Arabidopsis thaliana: one gene and its partners. The protein of the gene in region 1 interacts with the protein of each later gene in a pairwise test. Each region holds a gene or a part of one and is shown in the gene's direction. Other genes may lie near its edges.

What was found.
Region 2: the proteins of OBF5 (region 1) and NPR4 interact in a two-hybrid assay, tested with the Arabidopsis thaliana proteins (2 studies listed by BioGRID).
Region 3: the proteins of OBF5 (region 1) and NPR3 interact in binary tests that used the Arabidopsis thaliana proteins (3 or more experiments, as listed by UniProt).
Region 4: the proteins of OBF5 (region 1) and TPR2 interact in a two-hybrid assay, tested with the Arabidopsis thaliana proteins (one study listed by BioGRID).

Annotation. Positions count from the first base shown.
Region 1 is NC_003076.8:2,153,238-2,158,261, forward strand, and holds OBF5 (OCS-element binding factor 5), read left to right. Parts: upstream 1-1,508; 5' UTR 1,509-1,808; intron 1,809-2,423; exon of another isoform or gene 2,424-2,439; 5' UTR 2,440-2,504; coding exon 2,505-2,570; intron 2,571-2,641; exon of another isoform or gene 2,642-2,646; coding exon of another isoform or gene 2,647-2,652; coding exon 2,653-2,724; intron 2,725-2,815; coding exon 2,816-2,875; intron 2,876-2,975; coding exon 2,976-3,053; intron 3,054-3,128; coding exon 3,129-3,180; intron 3,181-3,335; coding exon 3,336-3,607; intron 3,608-3,686; coding exon 3,687-3,932; intron 3,933-4,016; coding exon 4,017-4,163; 3' UTR 4,164-4,482; downstream 4,483-5,024. Other genes in the region: AHBP-1B (bZIP transcription factor family protein), read left to right, coding at 86-357, 451-696, 791-937.
Region 2 is NC_003075.7:10,695,739-10,700,757, reverse strand, and holds NPR4 (NPR1-like protein 4), read left to right. Parts: upstream 1-1,965; 5' UTR 1,966-2,514; coding exon 2,515-3,033; intron 3,034-3,124; coding exon 3,125-3,863; intron 3,864-3,944; coding exon 3,945-4,492; downstream 4,493-5,019. Other genes in the region: AT4G19670 (RING/U-box superfamily protein), read left to right, coding at 1-707, 967-1,375. UniProt on the Arabidopsis thaliana protein: Salicylic acid (SA)-binding substrate-specific adapter of an E3 ubiquitin-protein ligase complex (CUL3-RBX1-BTB) which mediates the ubiquitination and subsequent proteasomal degradation of NPR1 in the absence of SA.
Region 3 is NC_003076.8:18,226,910-18,232,090, forward strand, and holds NPR3 (NPR1-like protein 3), read left to right. Parts: upstream 1-1,858; 5' UTR 1,859-2,409; coding exon 2,410-2,943; intron 2,944-3,031; coding exon 3,032-3,782; intron 3,783-3,856; coding exon 3,857-4,057; coding exon of another isoform or gene 4,058-4,122; exon of another isoform or gene 4,123-4,150; coding exon 4,151-4,425; 3' UTR 4,426-4,669; downstream 4,670-5,181. UniProt on the Arabidopsis thaliana protein: Salicylic acid (SA)-binding substrate-specific adapter of an E3 ubiquitin-protein ligase complex (CUL3-RBX1-BTB) which mediates the ubiquitination and subsequent proteasomal degradation of NPR1 in response to SA.
Region 4 is NC_003074.8:5,729,608-5,737,520, forward strand, and holds the start of TPR2 (TOPLESS-related 2), read left to right. Parts: upstream 1-1,911; 5' UTR 1,912-2,101; coding exon 2,102-2,181; intron 2,182-2,266; coding exon 2,267-2,446; intron 2,447-2,525; coding exon 2,526-2,639; intron 2,640-2,727; coding exon 2,728-2,886; intron 2,887-2,969; coding exon 2,970-3,147; intron 3,148-3,236; coding exon 3,237-3,369; intron 3,370-3,505; coding exon 3,506-3,621; intron 3,622-3,745; coding exon 3,746-3,878; intron 3,879-3,960; coding exon 3,961-4,070; intron 4,071-4,249; coding exon 4,250-4,319; intron 4,320-4,422; coding exon 4,423-4,493; intron 4,494-4,577; coding exon 4,578-4,673; intron 4,674-4,741; coding exon 4,742-4,834; intron 4,835-4,920; coding exon 4,921-5,048; intron 5,049-5,175; coding exon 5,176-5,410; intron 5,411-5,514; coding exon 5,515-5,673; intron 5,674-5,769; coding exon 5,770-5,865; intron 5,866-5,966; coding exon 5,967-6,116; intron 6,117-6,212; coding exon 6,213-6,323; intron 6,324-6,445; and 11 more. UniProt on the Arabidopsis thaliana protein: Transcriptional corepressor. Negative regulator of jasmonate responses.

The DNA of each region.
Region 1 (5,024 bases):
CTAATTAGCACTGGTGTAGATTTAGATTTACAAGATGACGAATCTCATGGGTTTGTTTTGATCATGTATAAATTTTTTAATTCAGGTGCTTTGGCGTTTGATGCTGAACATTCACGGTGGTTGGAAGAAAAGAACAAGCAAATGAACGAGCTGAGGTCTGCTCTGAATGCGCATGCAGGTGATTCTGAGCTTCGAATAATAGTCGATGGTGTGATGGCTCACTATGAGGAGCTTTTCAGGATAAAGAGCAATGCAGCTAAGAATGATGTCTTTCACTTGCTATCTGGCATGTGGAAAACACCAGCTGAGAGATGTTTCTTGTGGCTCGGTGGATTTCGTTCATCCGAACTTCTAAAGGTGAGGTCAAATTTCACTTTGTCTTCACCGATTGCATCTGTTTCTACATAGAACATAAAAAGAATGGTCATAGGGAAAAATGTGTTGAAACAGCTTCTGGCGAATCAGTTGGAGCCAATGACAGAGAGACAGTTGATGGGCATAAATAACCTGCAACAGACATCGCAGCAGGCTGAAGATGCTTTGTCTCAAGGGATGGAGAGCTTACAACAGTCACTAGCTGATACTTTATCGAGCGGGACTCTTGGTTCAAGTTCATCAGGGAATGTCGCAAGCTACATGGGTCAGATGGCCATGGCAATGGGAAAGTTAGGTACACTCGAAGGATTTATCCGCCAGGTACAACACTTGTGATGTTTTGAGATGATATCTTAGTTAAGAGTATATATATATATCAATAGGTTAATAATCGTCTCTTGGTTGGTGGTGGCAGGCTGATAATTTGAGACTACAAACATTGCAACAGATGATAAGAGTATTAACAACGAGACAGTCAGCACGTGCTCTACTTGCAATACACGATTACTTCTCACGGCTACGAGCTCTAAGCTCCTTATGGCTTGCTCGACCCAGAGAGTGAAACTGTATTTTGGTCACATGTCAGCTGTACAAAATCCATATGGACACAAAACCAGGAGAGACTATTAATCAACACTTGTCAGATTCTTCTTACCAAATCCATCAACAAATAAGCAAATTTCTGGGAAACAAAAGACTCTTTGTATGTAGGTTTCTTCTACATGGTTGTGGTAATTCATGTTGTTTTAGTTGTAGTCATCAGTTTTTAATTTAGCATTTGAAAAGTTCAATGTTGTTTATATAGCATCTTCGATTATCTTAGAAAGGTTATTGAATTTTGTTTTTTTTTGTTACTTTTGTGTGTGGTAAAGGTGTTTTAACCTTGCAACTTCTGTACTGTAATCATTTAACAATATTAAGATGTTCTATTTGAGTTTTGTAGTTTCATCGCTTGTGTCTTAAATCTTATTTAGTGAGGATTCTAATGTAAACTTCCAAGAGATGATGAAAATGAATTTACATTCAAAGTAAGTGTGATAGATTTTTTTGTAATAAAAAAAGGGACATGTCATTGTCAAAACCAAGAATTATTTTGTTTTTAGAAAAAAGAGAGTGTTGCAATTTTCAGAGGACTTTTTAACCCTCAGCATCTAGAGGTCCACCATCACTTGAGTTTCGTCTTCCATTCCTGTTTTTTTTCAGAGACCGGCAAAATAAAAAAAAAGAAGATCGTACAACTAAAAATACCTCAAAGAAGGAAGATACAAAAGTAGTAACCTTTGTTGGTGATTGATACTATATCTGTTGTGGGTTTTAGACAAAGACCACGTCTTTGCAGTTGTAGATTGGAATTTTCCGGATCTTTCTCTAAATCGCTTTTTCTCCGAGCAACTTTTGTTTGGGGTTAAGCTCAAAGAATCCGTTCTTTTCAGGTGAGTCTCTTCTTCAATAGTCTTAGGGGTTTTAGTTCTTCAGTTTTCTTATTCTGCCTCTGCTTTCATGATTGTTTTTTTCCATTGAAGATTTTGACCTTTGAGGGAATTTTTTCCTTTTTGCTTTATGTACGTGTTAAGGATCCAAAATCATTATTTCGGACACTATTTAAACGAATTGGTTGAGATTTGATGTTATGAAGCTTGAATTTTGTGTCTTTTACTCTGTTTCCGGGGCTAGTTTGCTAAATTCTGAATCTTTTAGCTCTACTTCAGTCTAATGTTCAGATTAGTTACTGTTTCACCTCACGGAGAGCTTTACGCTATAGAAGTCCGTTGGTTCTCATTTCAAATCATATAGGCGTGCTTATTGTTTACTTTGATTCTCTGGCTTTGAATACTCAAAGTTCTTGAGGTCATTGGTTGCTTCACAGCTATGTGTTAAGTTTAGTGGTTTGGATCTTTATGTTAGTGTGACATAAATAGGGTGATGTATCGTATCATTGTTTCCACTTTCTTGATTCTACTTAATGCGTTGGTTTTTGGCTTAAAAATATGTTTTCTTTCTCTATAACTCTAATCTTTTGTTTATGTTTACCATCTTACTTTTGACAGTCTTTACTCCATCTAGGGTACCACGATTGGATCGGTTTTTATCTGATGATTTAGTAACAGAGATTTTGAAGAAAAAGAAAAATGGGAGATACTAGTCCAAGAACATCAGTCTCAACAGATGGAGACACTGATCATAATAACCTAATGGTTAGCTTGTAAAATTTCTAGGTCTTGCTTCTTTATGTTCATTAAATGGCCAAAGTTTTGAAATAAAACAGTATTTATGCAGTTCGATGAAGGGCATTTGGGTATCGGTGCTTCTGATTCTAGTGACCGTTCAAAGAGTAAAATGGATCAAAAGGTGAATATAAACATCTCTATTTTGCAAGAGTTTGGTTTTTGTCATTGAGCCTTTCAGTTATGTTTTTCTTGTTTGTTGTTGTAATCAACAGACGCTTCGTAGGCTCGCTCAAAACCGTGAGGCTGCAAGGAAAAGCAGATTGAGGAAGAAAGTATGCTTAGATTTATGTTCATAGTTTCAATTCTTTTATGTTTTTTACAAGCATAGCTATTTGCAAACTCTAAGATGTTTGTTGGTTACTGCACTTTTAGGCATATGTTCAGCAGCTAGAGAACAGTCGATTGAAGCTAACACAACTTGAGCAGGAGCTACAAAGAGCACGGCAACAGGTTTTAACTTTGTTCAGCTATATTTGTGTAGATATTTGCTCTGTTGCATACATAACATTTTTCTCTTAATCTTAGGGTGTCTTTATCTCAAGCTCTGGAGACCAAGCCCATTCTACCGCTGGAGATGGTGAGTTAGCTGAATCATAATTCATAACCATTTATTGATGATGTGGTTGAAAATTTTAGTTTTGTTGGTTATAAAGTAGAGCAAGCACTAGTTTGGTTGATGGTGTTGATCACTTTCTTGTGAGATAATTTTTTATGAATGCTTCTCTTTTACAGGGGCAATGGCATTTGATGTAGAATACAGACGATGGCAGGAAGATAAAAACAGACAGATGAAGGAGCTGAGTTCTGCTATAGATTCTCACGCGACTGATTCTGAGCTTCGGATAATTGTAGATGGAGTAATAGCTCACTATGAGGAGCTTTACAGGATAAAAGGCAACGCAGCTAAGAGTGATGTCTTCCATTTATTATCAGGGATGTGGAAAACCCCAGCTGAGAGATGTTTCTTGTGGCTCGGCGGTTTCCGTTCATCAGAACTTCTCAAGGTAAAAAACACACGACCAGGTTCGGTTTATTTGGTCTCTTCACTAGCAAGTTTCCAAACTTTTTACTTCTCTACTACAGCTTATAGCGAGTCAGTTGGAGCCCTTGACAGAACAACAATCGCTAGACATAAATAACTTGCAACAGTCTTCTCAGCAAGCAGAAGATGCTTTGTCTCAAGGGATGGACAACTTACAGCAATCACTCGCTGATACTTTATCGAGTGGGACTCTCGGTTCAAGTTCATCAGGGAATGTAGCTAGCTACATGGGTCAGATGGCCATGGCGATGGGGAAGTTAGGTACCCTTGAAGGATTTATCCGCCAGGTACGTTACAATTTTGTTGTTTAACATCAAATGAAAAAAGTATTTTGCAGTCAGTTGATAGAACCATCTTATTGTTTGTGGCAGGCTGATAACTTAAGGCTACAAACATATCAACAGATGGTGAGACTATTAACAACCCGACAATCGGCTCGTGCTCTCCTTGCAGTACACAATTATACATTGCGGTTACGTGCTCTTAGCTCTCTATGGCTTGCCAGACCAAGAGAGTGAACCATGACTCTATTATACTTCAACGAAGGTCCAGAAAATTTGAGATTCTTAGCATAAGATTTGACGACTTTAGACACGTAGCTCGTATACAAGATTATGATTATACTGTTTTGTGTTGTAATGTTTGTGTGTAATGAATGTATCTTGAAATCATAAAAGTCCCGTAACATTTGAAAAGCATTAGGATACTAAAGAGAAGCAGTGACTTTGGTTTTGTACAATATCATTACAAATTATAAACACAGTCATTCAGTTTCTAAGCGAATGTAAATGAGACATAACAAAGAAACAATAGTGGATGAGTTGAAAGGAGTTGTCGCTCATGATTACGAGAAGAGAAACAACGAAAGCAATCAAGCATAGTCTACGCATGCATTTATAGCAACTTGTATTATATCCAAATCCTTGGATTTCTTTGCACAATAGTTTGAACTTGGTTCACGTCACGGTATGAGTTTCTCATAGACGCTATTAACATCAATCCTCAAAATACATAAAAGAAACATTGGTCAAATATTAAACATAAATGGGATTTCAACCGTCAATTAATCATTAATCTTATTTGAATGCTTAAGAATTATTAAGAGTTGTAAAATATAAGCCGACTAGATTATGATCAGAGAGGTTGATTTATTATTATAATTACTAATTAAATCATGGGGTCAGCAGGAGGCAGGAGCCGCACACCAAAAACCTTAAGAGTCTATTTTTCTTCATTCAAGAGTTTTACTGAATTTACGAACACGCTGGTCTGGTCCGGTCACAACATACTACTTTTACCGCAGAACCCAGACCAGAGCCCCATCTGGTCCCAGTTTGATGAAATTGATCGTAAACTACAAACATTTGTATAAAAAGCAA
Region 2 (5,019 bases), on another chromosome or scaffold:
GAGAAAACAAGTAACCTTAATGGGTTTGTTCTAAAGCTTGCTCCTTTCTGTGATCTTGATGAAGCTCTAAGCTTGGCTCAAGTAGCGGTAGGAATCGTGTCTTCTAATCTTGATGGGGATAAACCGATCGAGAACTGCTCGATCTGCTGTGAAGACCGTCAGTCTGAGATGATGCTATCATTGAAATGCACTCACAAATTCTGTTCGCACTGCATGAAAACGTACGTTGAAGGGAAAGTAAAGACTTCAGAGGTTCCCATCAGGTGTCCTCAAGTGCAATGCAAGCATTATCTCTCAGCAGCGGAATGCAAATCGTTCCTTCCCGTCACTACTTTCAAATCATTCGAGGAAGCAAATGTGTGTAGTAAAAACAATGGGAAGATTTACTGCCCATATCCCAATTGCTCTTTTCTGTTAGACCCGCAAGAATGTCTATCATCAGGAAGGGCTAGCTCAAGCTCGTCTACTCAGTCAGAGAATAGCTGCTGTGTGGAGTGTCCAGTCTGTGAGAGGTTTGTGTGTGTGGACTGTGGTGTTCCTTGGCATGCTTCTATGAGCTGTGAAGAGTTTCAGATTCTTCCAGTTGATGAAAGATACCCAGATGATATTACATTGCATCGCTTGGCAAGGTATAAGAGGTGGAGGCGGTGTCAGCAATGCCGTATAATGATCGAGCTTGCTCAAGGCTGCAACCACATGACTTGCCGGTAAGACACACATATATATCTATGGCTACACATTGTTTTCCGTATCTATACATATTTGAACCACCAAAGTTAGGTTTTTGACTTCCAATAAAATATAGTTAGTCTTGACCCTTTAACTGCAGAATCACGGTATCGTAATAACCATATGATTCTAAGGTTTTTTTTTTCTCGCCTACGTTTAAATCTAGTATTCTAGAGCAAGTGTTTCTTTTGCGATTCTTACGCATATAAATGTCAAAACTCTCTGTGTTTTCCGCAGATGCGGGCATGAGTTTTGCTACTCGTGTGGAGCAGAGTACAGAGAAGGGCAACAGACTTGCACGTGTGCTTTTTGGGACGATGATGAAGAAGAACAAGAAAACGCAGTAGAGGAAAACACAATTCAAGAAGTTGAGCAATGGCCTTGGGACACATTTAACTCAATTCCAACTGTAATGGACGCGTACTCAGAGCAAGAAAGATCTCAGCTTGCTCTGATCCAAAGGTTCTTAGCAGGTGGAGGGTTTAGTCTCAGTGATCACCATACTACTTATCAGTCACCGCCGCCTCCATGTACAGAGTCATCATATGTTGAAGCCGCAATGAAAGATCTTCATCAGCTTCCTTGGCTTGAGAGGTTTGTGTCTGTTATAAGTGATGATTACTATGAAGAGTATAATAGCCAGTGAAAGTAGTAGAATTGTAATTTAATAGCCTTGAGGATCCGGCTTGGTTTGGTTCAGAGAGGCCAAACGAGAGTATCTCACTCTCGAAAGTAATTGTTGGGAGGGTTTTAGATTCTTGATGAACTCAAACAAACGAATTGTGATGAAACTATTTGCAATTATAAGAAGAAGAGTTTGCTCATCTCCATTCTACAAATCCTGCAAGAAAGATTAACACTCTTTTATATTCAGTGTTATGTTATGATATTTAATCTACCAAAATTTGGTTGAAGAACTAATCAAAATGAACTTGGTTAGCATCATCATATATATACCAACTACCAAGTAAAGAAAAAGTTTGATAAATTCAATTATTCATGCTCTTCAAATAAAATACAGAACCCATTAAAAAGGGTCCACTTATCATCAATCTACTCTTGCATTATCTTGAGTTTTTGTGTAGACATAACATAACCCATTTTATAAGTTATGACCTTATTAGAAAGGGTCCACTTATCATCAATCTACTTAGCATTTTGTGTATATTTCTCAAAGCTGACGTTATTTAAGACGTCATAGACCCACTTCACCACAACTCAAGTCGTCTTCAATTGCTGACGACATTGCTTACGGTTTTTGAATCGTCGTCACAAAATTTAGGAGATTGGATTAGGAATTGGCTCTTTCTTTACTATTCTCCAAAGACTTTACTATTTGGTCAGTCTTCTTATTTCTCACCTTTAGCTTTTAGATAAACCTCTGATTTTTTTCTCCCATCTGTTCTGAGATTGTCTTCTTCTTCTTGAAATCTTTTTCATTTGTGCAATGATTTTGAAGACTACCCATCTATTCAGTTCTTTCTCTTATGATTTAAGTTTCATTTAGTTTTTTTTTCTCATCCGCCATTTTCGTTGACTTTTTGAAGCATTTCTCGAATTGACTTTGTTCTTCACATTGATTCATTAGAATGTTCTTTCATAAAGTTTGGATCTTTTCTTCAGGGCTTGATTAATTTCATATCTATGATCTTCTCTGTATTGTTTTTGATCCAATCACTTCTCAAAATTTGATCCTTGTCATTGGATTTAGATTTAGGGTTTTTGTATCCTTGGGGATTTGAAGATCAAAAACAGAGTCTTTGAGTGATACTTCTGGGGAACAAAATGGCTGCAACTGCAATAGAGCCATCTTCATCTATAAGTTTCACATCTTCTCACTTATCAAACCCTTCTCCTGTTGTTACTACTTATCACTCAGCTGCTAATCTTGAAGAGCTCAGCTCTAACTTGGAGCAGCTTCTCACTAATCCAGATTGCGATTACACTGACGCAGAGATCATCATTGAAGAAGAAGCTAACCCTGTGAGTGTTCATAGATGTGTTTTAGCTGCTAGGAGCAAGTTTTTTCTTGATCTGTTTAAGAAAGATAAAGATAGTAGTGAGAAGAAACCTAAGTATCAAATGAAAGATTTATTACCATATGGAAATGTGGGACGTGAGGCATTTCTGCATTTCTTGAGCTATATCTACACTGGGAGGTTAAAGCCTTTTCCTATCGAGGTTTCAACTTGTGTTGATTCAGTTTGTGCTCATGATTCTTGTAAACCGGCCATTGATTTTGCTGTTGAGTTGATGTATGCTTCATTTGTGTTCCAAATCCCGGATCTTGTTTCGTCATTTCAGGTTTGAGATAAAGTTTCTTTGTGATTTTGCTGGTAAATAATCTGTTCTTGATTGGTCAAGGCTGTAATGTTGTGTGTTGTTGTGTCTGCAGCGGAAGCTTCGTAACTATGTTGAGAAGTCACTAGTAGAGAATGTTCTTCCTATCCTCTTAGTTGCGTTTCATTGTGATTTGACACAGCTTCTTGATCAATGCATTGAGAGAGTGGCGAGATCAGACTTAGACAGATTCTGTATCGAAAAGGAGCTTCCTTTAGAAGTATTGGAAAAAATCAAACAGCTTCGAGTTAAGTCGGTGAACATACCCGAGGTGGAGGATAAATCGATAGAGAGAACAGGGAAAGTACTCAAGGCATTGGATTCAGATGATGTAGAACTCGTGAAGCTTCTTTTGACTGAGTCAGATATAACTCTAGACCAAGCCAATGGTCTACATTATGCAGTGGCATACAGTGATCCGAAAGTTGTGACACAGGTTCTTGATCTAGATATGGCTGATGTTAATTTCAGAAATTCCAGGGGGTATACGGTTCTTCATATTGCTGCTATGCGTAGAGAGCCAACAATTATCATACCACTTATTCAAAAAGGAGCTAATGCTTCAGATTTCACGTTTGATGGACGCAGTGCGGTAAATATATGTAGGAGACTCACTAGGCCGAAAGATTATCATACCAAAACCTCAAGGAAAGAACCTAGTAAATACCGCTTATGCATCGATATCTTGGAAAGGGAAATTAGAAGGAATCCATTGGTTAGTGGGGATACACCCACTTGTTCCCATTCGATGCCCGAGGATCTCCAAATGAGGTTGTTATACTTAGAAAAGCGAGGTATTGACCTAGTCGATATATATATTTCTCATAGCTTAAGGTTGATGTCTCTTTATTGAATTCTTGTATGTGTCATTGCAGTGGGACTTGCTCAGTTGTTCTTCCCAGCAGAAGCCAATGTGGCTATGGACGTTGCTAATGTTGAAGGGACAAGCGAGTGCACAGGTCTTCTAACTCCACCTCCATCAAATGATACAACTGAAAACTTGGGTAAAGTCGATTTAAATGAAACGCCTTATGTGCAAACGAAAAGAATGCTTACACGTATGAAAGCCCTCATGAAAACAGGTAAAAGCTTAAGGAAATGTACTTTCAAGTTTTATTCTCTGACCACAAGATTGACTGATTCGAAACCGTTCAACAACGCAGTTGAGACAGGTCGGAGATACTTCCCATCTTGTTATGAGGTTCTGGATAAGTACATGGATCAGTATATGGACGAAGAAATCCCTGATATGTCGTATCCCGAGAAAGGCACTGTGAAAGAGAGAAGACAGAAGAGGATGAGATATAACGAGCTGAAGAACGACGTTAAAAAAGCATATAGCAAAGACAAAGTCGCGCGGTCTTGTCTTTCTTCTTCATCACCAGCTTCTTCTCTTAGAGAAGCCTTAGAGAATCCAACATGATCTTGTCCCAGATAAGTAATGCTACTAGAGATAGTTCCTTGGAAGAAATTAGCTATTTTATAGGTTTTGGTTTAGAAAACAGTGGAGATCCCATTTTGGTATTCAGGTTTATTACATGGTTTAGGTTTGATTTTGTATTAAAGGAGATGGATTTTTGAAATGTATAAAGCAAAACCTTTCCTTTTTGCTTTGCTTCTTTCTTTAGTCAGAAAATTGTAATATATGGAAGTGAAATCGAAGCAACGATTGAGCAGAACGAGAAGCACAAGAAAAATGTTAAGCTAGTTAAAAGATTTTCAAGCTTCTTGCAAGAGAATTACTAAACAGGCACTTTCTCAGGGGAAAGATCCTCGTGTTGAATTAATCTCAATACCAAAATCTAAGCCTGCTTCTGATAGCAAAACAGGAACTAGAGAATAGAGATAGTTCCTTTGAAAAGATTGAAGATCCCATTTTGGCTTTAGGTTCAATTTGTATTACAAGGGATTTTGATTTTTAAAATGTGTAAAGGAAAAATATGATGCTCT
Region 3 (5,181 bases), about 16 Mb from region 1:
TTTTGTTTTGTTATTTTTCTTTTTAATTGTTTCATCAAGTTAAGTTTCGTTTCCAATTCCTCTTAGAATGATTTTTATCTCTTGTGTTAGGTCACGCTTTACTAGTTTACACTCCTCTTTAGAATGATTTATCTCTTGTATGAGTTTTGTTTTTGTCTTTTTGTTAAGAATTTAAATATTCCACTAAAATGAAAAGTGTTAGGATTTTCATGAAGTAAAGCCTGAAGTTTTTGGTCTTATGGCAAAAAAAGAAAAAAACATGAAAACAAAAGAAATCAATCCATTGACATCAACAAAACAAATTACGTTTTTGAGTCATAAAGTGATATAACAATTTTGAATAACTACCAATATATATGTCCTCAATCTTGTGTGAGTTCAAGGCTTTATGGGTTACATCGTTATACTTAGTTTATGTAAGAAATTTGTAAATTTGAATGGGTTAAAACTTCTGATCTAAATAACGAATTGGTAGGAAACTTTTTTTTGTCTTGTTAATATTTGATGGTTTTAGCCAAAGTAATACATAAAATAATTATTTAGTGACCAAAACTTATCGCATATTTGATGATTTAAGCCATAGTAATATGATTTGTATTAGTGACGTTGATGGTTTAATATATGATTTAGTGATACTTAGTGAACGAAAGATACAAATTAACATATGGTTTACCAAAGTAACGCAGCGTCACTAGTGACCAAAACTTAGCGTATATTTGATAGTTTAAGTCAAAGTAATATACTAATATGATTTGTATTAGTGACGTTGCATTGTCACTATCCAAGTTTACACTTATATGTTATTTTTTGTTAAAAATATATATTTATAGTTAGAATTCTATATTCGATAGCATTACCGAAAGTCGAAAATTTAATCATAGGAATCATTGCCAATCGAAATAATGCTAATTAAATTTTATTTCATATAAAAATTTGATGAATAAACTATTCAACGACTATCCTTAAAGAGTTTTTTTTTTTTTAATAGTCAGCTAACGCATTTCACCGATTGTATTTGTAGCCTTGTAGGTAGAGTCGAATTTCCGACGCGACTAGAATGCTAGCATAAGAGACTTCACCACTTTGTTACGAAGCCAAGAATCTTCTTGTTTTAAAAAAAAAAATCAAGACAAAATTGTCGTCCCTCATATCTATATTCAATTCATTTCAAAACGTTATTTATGTCTTAAAATTTGGAACTAGGCCACAAAGAATGACTTTGGTCATCACAAAATTATAAATTTAATAAAAATTTGGACCACTATAGGCATAGCTATTGCCTATTATAATCTCTACTATTACTTTATGATTTATCTACTATTCCGAAAGTGTAATTGTTTAATACGTCATCACATTGCAGCAATCCACACACAAGCCACGTCATTCATATGCCGTTCGTATTTGCTTTCGTCACTTCCTTCCGTCATCAATAGTGACGGCTATTTCTTAATATTAATCTTCTTGACTTAATGCTATTTCGTGACGGCATTAATTGGCATATCATTACAAGTTATTTACACCTAAGAAACAAATTAAAACTATTGAATAATATGATGTAAATAAAAATATATTAATGATGTGATATATCGCAGTCAAATAAAAATAGTGATTTTGATGAGAAAAAAAATATGTGTTTATCCATAGATTTGTTAAATTAGAGAAAGATGTGGAAAATGTTAGTGAGTGGCGTCATACACGGAGAACCTTTGGCATCATACACGGATTTTTCTAGTCTTTGTTTTCTATTTGTCAACTTTCATTTGAGTCTTTCTTTATACACTTTATTAGACCATGTTTTTAATTCTAATGCTTATTAATTCATATTATTAAATTTACAAAAAAAACTATTATATTAACTCTCTTGTTTCCTCTGTATCTTCCTTCACATTGAAGCTGTCTCTTTCTTTCACCATCACTTGCACCTGTTGTGTCCTGTTTGTTCTCAATTTCATCATCATTTATCCTTTATATACCTCTCTTTCTTTCTTGACTTTTCCTCTAAATTCTCTTCCTTTTTATCTCTTTGATACATCTCAATTTGGTTCTTTTGCCTTCTCTTTGATCTTATCTCTTACGATTGTGCAGATCTCAATCTCTATATCCTTGGTTGTGTCAGATTCTCTTAGGGTTTATTTTCTCTCCCAATTTTGTTTGATTCCTTGTCCAAAGTTTCTTCCTTTCCTTTTGACTTTTTTTTGTGGTACATTGAATCAGAGGTGTAAGAGTAATAGTTTCATAACTCAAATCCCCAAGTGTACAAATTTTCCTCTTTTGGTTCTGGGTTTGGTTGATTCCTTGTTAGAAATGTAAATTTAGGGCTTTTGTATCTGAAACCGATCTTCAGACTTGTGTAATCTTCTTGATCTTCATGCAAGATTGATAATTCTACAAGAAGAAGAAGAAGAGAAAATGGCTACTTTGACTGAGCCATCATCATCTTTGAGTTTCACATCTTCTCATTTCTCTTATGGTTCTATTGGGTCCAATCACTTCTCATCAAGCTCAGCTTCTAATCCTGAAGTTGTTAGTCTAACCAAACTCAGCTCCAATCTTGAGCAGCTTCTTAGTAATTCAGATTGTGATTACAGTGATGCAGAGATCATTGTTGATGGTGTTCCAGTTGGTGTTCATAGATGCATTTTAGCTGCAAGAAGTAAGTTTTTCCAAGATTTGTTTAAGAAAGAAAAGAAAATTTCGAAAACTGAGAAACCAAAGTATCAGTTGAGAGAGATGTTACCTTATGGAGCTGTTGCTCATGAAGCTTTCTTGTATTTCTTGAGTTATATATATACTGGGAGATTAAAGCCTTTTCCATTGGAGGTTTCGACTTGTGTTGATCCAGTTTGTTCTCATGATTGTTGTCGACCTGCCATTGATTTTGTTGTTCAATTGATGTATGCTTCCTCTGTTCTCCAAGTGCCTGAGCTAGTTTCATCTTTTCAGGTGTGTGAAAAGTCTTCTTTTTTCTTCGGTCTCTTTGTTTCTTAATTCATAGACCTCAATGAGAACTAAAAGGTTTGTGTGCTTGCAGCGGCGGCTTTGTAACTTTGTGGAGAAGACCCTTGTTGAGAATGTTCTTCCCATTCTTATGGTTGCTTTCAATTGTAAGTTGACTCAGCTTCTTGATCAGTGTATTGAGAGAGTGGCGAGGTCAGATCTTTACAGGTTCTGTATTGAAAAGGAAGTTCCTCCCGAAGTAGCAGAGAAGATTAAACAGCTTCGACTTATATCCCCGCAAGACGAAGAAACCAGTCCCAAGATTTCGGAGAAATTGCTTGAAAGAATCGGTAAAATTCTCAAGGCCTTGGATTCAGATGATGTTGAGCTTGTGAAGCTTCTTTTGACTGAGTCAGATATCACTCTAGATCAAGCCAATGGTCTGCATTATTCTGTTGTGTATAGTGATCCGAAAGTTGTTGCCGAGATTCTTGCTCTGGATATGGGTGATGTGAACTACAGGAATTCCCGGGGTTACACGGTTCTTCATTTTGCTGCGATGCGTAGAGAGCCATCGATCATTATATCGCTTATCGATAAAGGCGCCAATGCATCTGAGTTTACATCTGACGGACGTAGCGCAGTTAATATATTAAGAAGACTGACAAATCCAAAGGATTATCATACCAAAACAGCTAAAGGGCGTGAATCTAGTAAAGCCAGGTTATGCATCGATATCTTGGAAAGAGAAATCAGGAAGAACCCCATGGTTCTAGATACACCAATGTGTTCCATTTCTATGCCTGAAGATCTCCAGATGAGACTGTTGTACCTAGAAAAGAGAGGTAATTGACTGAAAATTACTGAATTCTTCTGTATCTTTACTACATTTTTGTTAAAGCTTCTACCTTTTTTGCAGTGGGGCTTGCTCAGTTGTTCTTTCCAACGGAAGCTAAAGTTGCTATGGACATTGGTAACGTAGAAGGTACAAGTGAGTTCACGGGTTTGTCACCTCCTTCGAGTGGGTTAACCGGAAACTTGAGTCAGGTTGATTTAAACGAAACTCCTCATATGCAAACCCAAAGACTTCTTACTCGTATGGTGGCTCTAATGAAAACAGGTAACAAAAAGCTTGCTCTCTGTAAGTCTACCCTTCATCTTCTTATGTTGCTCATTTTCTCTTGACTGACTTCATTACCGTTTCACAATGCAGTTGAGACTGGTCGAAGGTTTTTTCCATATGGTTCAGAGGTTCTAGATAAGTACATGGCTGAGTATATAGACGACGACATCCTCGACGATTTCCATTTTGAGAAGGGATCTACACATGAAAGAAGATTGAAAAGAATGAGATATAGAGAGCTTAAGGATGATGTCCAAAAGGCATATAGCAAAGACAAAGAGTCTAAGATTGCGCGGTCTTGTCTTTCTGCTTCATCTTCTCCTTCTTCTTCTTCCATAAGAGATGACCTGCACAACACAACATGAAACTGCACCATAAGTCAAATGTAATTAGATATCTTTGTTAAAAGGGTTTTTTCTTTATGGATGTTACTCAGATTTTATACAGATGCTTTAGGTTCAGTTTCAATAAAGAGAGATGGATAGATAGATGTACAAGATTAGGAGTGCTGATTAACCCAAAACGTTCTAACTATACGCAATCTTTTGTTTTCAATACAAAAATCTAATATTTAGGTTATCTACAAGATATTCTCAGATACCTGAAACTTAAACAAACAAAGACACTCCACAAAAAGTCAGGAAAAAACATGATCATTTGTCAATCATAGCTATCTCTTTACATAATTACAGAAGATAAGACTACTGGTGGCTAAGAGTAAAGAACAAAAACCATTCTTCCAAACAACCTGTAATAATGCATTCTGAACAGAACTGTCACATGTATGTCCCAGTAAGTAGATGTTAGCTGCTCTCTTTGGCATAGGGTCGGGGCAGGGGCTTGTCTGACCAATACTGTCTATCTGTCTTCTTCAACAAAGAAAGCATTTCAAGTTGCATTATATGTTAAGTGTGCCTTTCCAACATCGTAAAGCAATAGAAGAATATTGTACCAACGAAGGACTGTGCCTTTCCAATTTGTCACTCTGTTCAGTCCAGTCTAAAATTCACTTCACTGAGTTCAGTGGCGTTTCAACATTACGGAGAGCCTTTGTTCTTTCAGCTTTCTCGAAGTCCTTCCTTGTTCGTTTGTTGGCATCTATATCTATACTGATGAGTAGA
Region 4 (7,913 bases), on another chromosome or scaffold:
TTCCTTCCCAAATTTGATGAGGAACAAACAGGAAAAAAAATTAAATATTTATTAAATAAAAATTAAATTTATGTTCGTTTTATATTTAATATTTAATTTGAAAAATAATTTATTTATTTTTTAATTTTTGTTACTATTTATTCTATGTTTTGGTTATCATTTACAGTAACATTTGTTCTATTTTTCCTTTATATCCATTCCTTTTCATTCCTATTTTATCATTTTTTCTTTTCCTGTTTGTTCTTTTTTAGTCATGTTCTTCTTCATTCCTTGTATTCATTTATAGGTCACCAATCGGACCCGATATGTTGATTTAAAGAGAGTGGACATATCAATTCTGGTAGCTGGTAAAAAGCATCTATTTCCTTTGCTTTCAAGCTCATGTGTTACACAAACATGTTATAAAGTCATTTTTTTGTTTTTCATATGCAAAGAGAACAACAATTGTATCATGGACAATACAGAACTTCTTTATTTTCATCTAAATAGCAATGCTAAAGAGAGCTTCTAAGGAAAAAAGTGTCTAAGATGTATTCGGCTGTTTCAAAAAAATATTGGAAGAGCCAACGAGAGATTACATACTAAGTGAATAATAATGGTCTGACATACAAATTAATGATCAAACCATTATTATGTCAAGAGCGAGGCAACCATATTCGATTAATTAGTTCGCACTGCTCTAAGAGATGCTAACGGGACCCTAGAGAGCACTTCCTCTTCCAAATCTCGGGGAAGATCGGACATCGCCATTGTTGAATCTCTCATCTCCAAGTTAGGTCAAAGCTTCTACAACTCTTTTCGTACCTTCCGGCTATATATGTAACAGCAATTGAAGACACAACTCACTGGGCTAAACCTGGGCTTCAGTTATCAAGTCGGCCTCTTAATGTGGGACCAATACATTTTTTGTATTTGATCGTATAGCAAAAACAAATGATTAGCACCATGTGGAAACATTAGAGAGTTTGTGTAATTAAATTTCAAGTTTCTTTTCTGTCTTGTTATATACATAAAAATGGTTACAGTAACCTTGTTTTTTCTAGTTATCCTCATATGCTCCAAAAACATAGGAGAAAACATAATCATGAACTTTTTGACCAATAGTATTGTTAGGACTTGAATTCTCTTAGATTTGTTAATTGATGATGAATTCTCTTAGATGTTTATAACACTATGAAAATCATTACTTAAAAAAAAAAAAACTAAGATGATCCATCAGTCACACTTTAAATGTTTTTTAAAATATGTTCATATGTTTTGTTTATGGCATTGCGTACATAATTTAATTAGACTAATTATAATATCGATCAAACAAAGAATTATTGGCTGGATTTGGTCGCAGCCATTAGCAGTCGCTCTCAACTAATATTATTACGAGAATCTCTAGCTGAGCAAGTATCTCGTATTTCTCACGCTCTGACGAAAACTTCTACGAGATAGACGCAGATATCGAGACCACGTCATTCCCCCTAACAAGGCAACAACATGTGGCGGACGCCAGTAAAACTCTGCTCAATTCACTTCAATTCCATTTTTCGAATCCGCGTGACGTAACCCACCTAAGGGTTTATAATCCACTACTTTGCACCCCCACCTAAAAATGCATCACAAGCGCGACAAGTGTCAATACAATTCAGATACGGAGAATACTCTGAGATCCCACATCTGCTTTCGGTGGGCTCACCCGCATCAGATAAAAACCCTAAGCTAAGGGATCAGACCAAACAGTTTAACCAAACGAGGTTATCAACTTATACGACAACGAAAGCACTTATCAATGATAAGTTAGTTAACTTATCAAACTACAGTCTGTGTGACAAAACGCATCGAAGAAAGTGGAGAACAAGTCGTACTTTTTTCTTTATCTTTTTCCTTTTTTATTAAATGAAAAAATATAAATAGAAATTTTGTAGCATCTCTGGGGTCAGCTTTTTCTTAATGTTCGCTTTGCGACGCGAGGAAATGCAACCTTGAAACCCTAGAAAACTCATTCTCAACTACGACTAAATCGATTTCGCAAACTTTGACCTACCCTTCTTTCACGATAAACCCAGATCGCTTAAATTCCTTGAATTTCTTCTTCTGAGAGTTTTAGGAAAAAATGTCGTCTTTGAGCAGAGAGTTAGTTTTCTTAATTCTCCAGTTCTTAGATGAGGAGAAGTTCAAGGAATCTGTTCACAAGTAAGTTTGTGCTTTGTCGTTTTTGTGTGCTTGTTTGGTTTCTCTGCGTAATTTTGGGTATAATTTGGAATTGGTTGATGTGTAGGCTAGAGCAAGAATCTGGCTTCTTCTTTAACATTAAGTACTTTGAAGAGAAAGCTCTTGCTGGAGAGTGGGATGAAGTGGAGAAGTATCTTTCTGGTTTCACTAAAGTCGATGATAATCGTTACTCTATGAAAATCTTCTTTGAGATTAGGAAGCAAAAGTATCTCGAAGCTCTAGATCGGTAATGATTTCTCTTCTTGTTTGGTCGGATATTTAGACTAGTGTTGTTGATTTGATACATTTGTGTGTTTTTATTACAGAAATGACAGAGCAAAAGCTGTTGAGATATTAGCCAAAGACTTGAAAGTTTTCGCTACATTTAACGAGGAGCTTTACAAGGAGATTACTCAGCTGCTTACTCTGGAGAATTTTAGGTTTCTTTTTTTTTTTACTTTGCCATTGATATTATTGAAGTTTTGGTAGGTGGTTACGATAATGTTGAAGAGTGTGTTTTTTTCTTAGGGAAAATGAGCAACTGTCGAAATATGGTGATACTAAATCTGCAAGGTCTATAATGTATACTGAGTTGAAGAAATTGATTGAGGCGAATCCTCTGTTTCGAGAGAAGCTAGCCTTCCCCAGTTTCAAAGCTTCTCGCCTGCGAACTTTGATCAATCAAAGGTGAACTAGGAGGAGTCATAATTCTTTCCTTTTTTTATAGAGATTAGTTAAAGTGTATGACAAGTGTGTTTGGGACATTGCAGCTTAAACTGGCAGCATCAGCTATGTAAAAATCCAAGGCCTAATCCTGACATCAAGACATTGTTCTTGGATCACTCTTGCTCACCATCAAACGGTGCTCGTGCACTCACTCCTGTCAATCTTCCAGTTGCTGCTGTTGCAAGACCTTCAAACTTTGTTCCTCTTGGAGTGCATGGTGGAGTAGGATCACTTACTTAACTTCCACCCATTCTATTATATAACTTAATGTTCATATTTTGAGGGTTGATGAAACAACTGTATCTGTGCAGCCCTTTCAATCTAATCCTGCTCCGGCTCCTAATGCCAATGCTTTAGCTGGATGGATGGCAAACCCAAATCCTTCTTCATCAGTTCCATCTGGTGTTGTCGCTGCTTCCCCATTTCCTATGCAGCCAAGTCAAGGTATAATTTATGTCACAACTTACAAGTGTCTGGATATTATGGTATCTTTCGTTTTTTTTTCTTACTTGTGATATTAGAGTTTTTAGGAAATGAATTTTAAGACCTGAAGTTCTATTGCTGTATTTCGTCTCAACAGTTAATGAGCTGAAACACCCTCGGGCACCGTCTAACTCTCTAGGATTAATGGATTATCAAAGTGCTGATCACGAGCAACTCATGAAACGCTTACGGTCTGCACAAACATCCAACGAGGTAATTGCCTTCAGGTTTTCCTTGTTTTTGAAACGCTTAGTGCTTACCTAGCAAACAAAACTCTTGTTGCTTTTGGAATGTGCGCTTTGATGTTGAGTAGATGGCTCTACTTTTCAAATCACAGGTCACATATCCTGCTCATTCTCATCCCCCTGCGTCACTTGATGACCTCCCTAGAAATGTAGTGAGTACAATTCGCCAAGGGTCGGTGGTGATAAGCATGGATTTTCACCCTTCTCATCACACTTTGCTCGCTGGTTAGTCCATTGCTACCATGAAAAGCTTAGTAGAGTTGAGATTTTTATTTGGCTCTTGTTATAATATGTCTGTTACTCGTAGTTGGTTGTTCAAGCGGCGAAGTCACCTTGTGGGAAGTTGGATCCAGAGAAAAGGTTGTCACAGAACCTTTCAAGATATGGAATATGGCGGCTTGTTCTGTGATCTTCCAGGTTTCTCTCTTCTTCCATCGTTTTTACTTATTTTCTTGATAAAGATAAATTATCTAGAAACATACTTTAACACTAAGCTAATCCAGCCTTGAGTGATTTATGTTCTGTTCTGTTCTATCCTATACTTTAAAACTAAGCTAATAAACTATGATTTTGTTGTGCGGGCATTTTCTCGCCAGGGTTCTATAGTCAAAGAGCCATCGATATCCGTCACTCGTGTAGCATGGAGCCCAGATGGAAACTTGCTTGGTATGGTAGATGGAGATTGTTCTCCTAAAAACGTTTTAAAGATATATAGTTGTAATTTCAAGTAGACACGAAGTTTGAACTTTGTAACATTTTCCATGTACAGGGGTTTCTTTTACTAAACATCTGATCCATGTATATGCTTACCAAGGCTCAGACCTACGTCAACACCTCGAGGTATGTTTAATTGTCTTTTCGTACTTAGTTTCTTGCCTTTGCATCTGCACCAAACTTAATCGATCATCTGTTTCTGTGGATTAGATTGATGCTCATGTAGGCTGTGTGAATGACTTGGCGTTCGCCCACCCAAATAAGCAAATGTGTGTTGTGACTTGTGGGGATGACAAATTGATTAAGGTACGTTAGGATTATGATGACTCTGAACTCAGTTTTATTATCCCGTGTCTAATTATGATATTTCCTAGGTGTGGGATTTGAGTGGGAAGAAGCTCTTCACCTTTGAAGGGCACGAGGCACCAGTTTATTCCATTTGCCCTCACCAGAAGGAAAATATTCAGGTGCAGGCATCTCTTGTTTAAAAAGACCTGAAAAACTTTCCCTTTCGCTGTCTTGTAATTTATTTTTCTCTTTTTTTACTATGCAGTTTATATTCTCAACCGCTCTTGATGGAAAGATCAAGGCGTGGCTCTATGATAATGTTGGTTCTCGGGTTGATTATGACGCACCGGGACAGTGGTGTACAACAATGCTCTACAGTGCTGATGGAAGCAGGTACATCATTGTTATTTGAAAAGCTCTGGAGTTGTATAACAAAATTATGTCTCTGCCATAAATTGAAATCTTCTGAACAAAATATAGGCTCATATCATTATCAAGTAAATATCTGCTATGATTTCAGACTATTTTCTTGTGGGACGAGTAAAGAAGGAGACTCTTTCCTCGTCGAGTGGAATGAGAGTGAAGGTGCCCTAAAGAGGACATATTTAGGCTTTAGGAAGAAATCAGCTGGAGTTGTTCAGTTTGATACAACCCGTAACCGTTTCTTGGCTGTTGGTGAAGACAATCAAATAAAATTCTGGAACATGGACAATACAAATCTTTTGACAGTTGTTGAGGCTGAAGGTGGACTTCCGGTATGACATTCTTGCCCAAAATACTCCTCTTGGCTACTTGTATATAAAATCTTTTGTATTCTCGAGCCTGTTACTTTACTGATGCTATGTACCGTTTATTTCAGAATCTACCCCGATTGAGATTCAACAAGGATGGGAATCTTCTTGCAGTTACTACAGCAGATAATGGATTCAAGATCCTTGCAAATACTGATGGTCTCAGAACCTTAAGAGCATTTGAAGCGCGGTCTTTTGAAGCATCTAAAGCATCCATTGATATGAAGGTCTTGGAATAATTACTCTTTATGTTATCCATGAAATATTTTTATTACTCATGCCTTATGTCCAGTTTAACTCGAGTGTCAATACCGGTGATTCAGGTATCCACCTCCGCAATGGCTTCAAGCATCAGCCCCGCTATTGGTAAAATTGAACACATGGACGCAGGCTCTCCTGCAAGGCCAACCCCAATTCCTGTATGATTTAAATTTTAGTATATCTTTTTCAATATATATATATATATTTTTTCCTATTTCAATAAGAATCCTTATATGTGGTCTCTGTTGGTGTTATGCAGAATGGAATTGAGGCAATGTCAAGAACTATGGAAAAGCCAAGAAACTTGGACTCTGTTGATAAGTCTAAACCTTTAGAGCTCACAGAAATTGTTGATCCGACTCAGTGCCGACAAGTGACAATGCCAGATAGCAAGGACTCTGTTAGCAAGGTTTGTTACCGTCTTAGCTTGAAATTGCCCATCAATTGTTCTGTTTCATTAATAATTATCTTGAAATAATCTTTTGCTGCTATGTCAATCCTTAAGGTTGCTCGGCTTCTTTACACAAATTCTGGCGTTGGTGTTTTGGCTCTTGGATCAAATGGTGTTCAAAGACTATGGAAGTGGATCCGCAATGAGCAAAATCCAACTGGGAAGGTGATTCGTTGTACCTTTCAAATTTTACACTCATGTGGTTTGTTGATATATGTGAGTTGTTGAGTCACTTGTTTGAAGCTCTCTTGCATAAGTGTCTGAAATTTTGTCCTTTTATTGTGAAGGCAACTGCTAGTGTAACTCCACAGCATTGGCAGCCAAACAGCGGTCTCCTAATGGCAAATGATGTTCCCGAGAATCCTGAAGGGAGTGTTCCGTGTATAGCACTTTCCAAGAATGACTCATACGTAATGTCAGCTTGTGGTGGAAAGGTTTCGTTATTCAATATGATGACTTTCAAAGTAAGCAGCTTAATCCAACTTTTTCTGTTCTCGGGAGCATCTCCTAAATACTGATACCTCAGGAGCTAATGAAACTATTTGAGTAATATGCGAAGCTAAATGCATTTTTCCCTTTCGTGCAGGTAATGACAACTTTCATGCCACCGCCACCAGCTTCAACTTTCTTGGCATTTCATCCTCAAGATAATAATATTATTGCAATCGGGATGGAGGACTCGAGTATACATATTTACAACGTCAGGGTAGATGAGGTATAGTACATTTGTTCTATTCTGCGGTCTACTGGTTTTTACTGGTGTAACTGCTGATTCATCTCTTAAATGAATTTGTAATGTAATCTCTTTTAATCTATAGGTGAAAACAAAGTTGAAAGGTCACCAGAAGCACATAACTGGTCTAGCATTCTCTACCGCGCTCAATATTCTTGTCTCTTCTGGTGCCGATGCTCAGGTAAGACAAAATTCATGTTTCTTAGATGCTATTGGAGCTTTTCGTGTCCATGTTGGCTTGTAACTTAACAGACTCGTTAACTCTCTTTATTACAGCTCTTCTTCTGGACCGCTGACTCGTGGGAGAAAAAGAAATCTTCAGCGATACAGCTACCACCTGGCAAAGCACCAGTAGGCGACACACGAGTCCAATTCCACAACGACCAAATCCAGTTATTGGTTTCACATGAGACACAGCTCGCCATTTACGATGCTTCGAAGATGGAATGCATTCATAAGGTATCGTAAAAAATCTTTGTATTTACTTGGAGATCTTGAATGATTATAAGAAACCTTAAATTCTCATTCCTTGTGCAGTGGGTGCCCCAAGAAGCTCTCTCTTCGCCCATAACCTCTGCATCTTACTCATGCAACAGCCAACTGGTTTACGCGTCATTCGCTGATGGAAACATTGCAGTCTTTGATGCTGAATCCTTGAGACTCAGATGCCGCATTGCCCCATCAGCCTACATGCCTCAACCTACACCAAACAGGTACCGTATTTTACAAACTTCATATAAAGTTTATATCATCCATCTGACCATTGTGATTTTTTGGGACTGATTATGCTTTCTTTTTCTTCTGTGATAGTGCACCGATTTTCCCACAGGTGATCACAGCTCATCCACAAGAACCGAATCAATTAGCGGTTGGACTGTCTGATGGTTCGGTTAAAGTGATTGAGCCATCAGAACTTTCTAGAAGATGGGGTGTTGGCGTCGCAGCTGGTTCAGATAAAGCAGGGACTGAAAATGGACGGCCGTCTAGTTCATCAGCGGCTAACAACTCAAGTTCGGATCAGA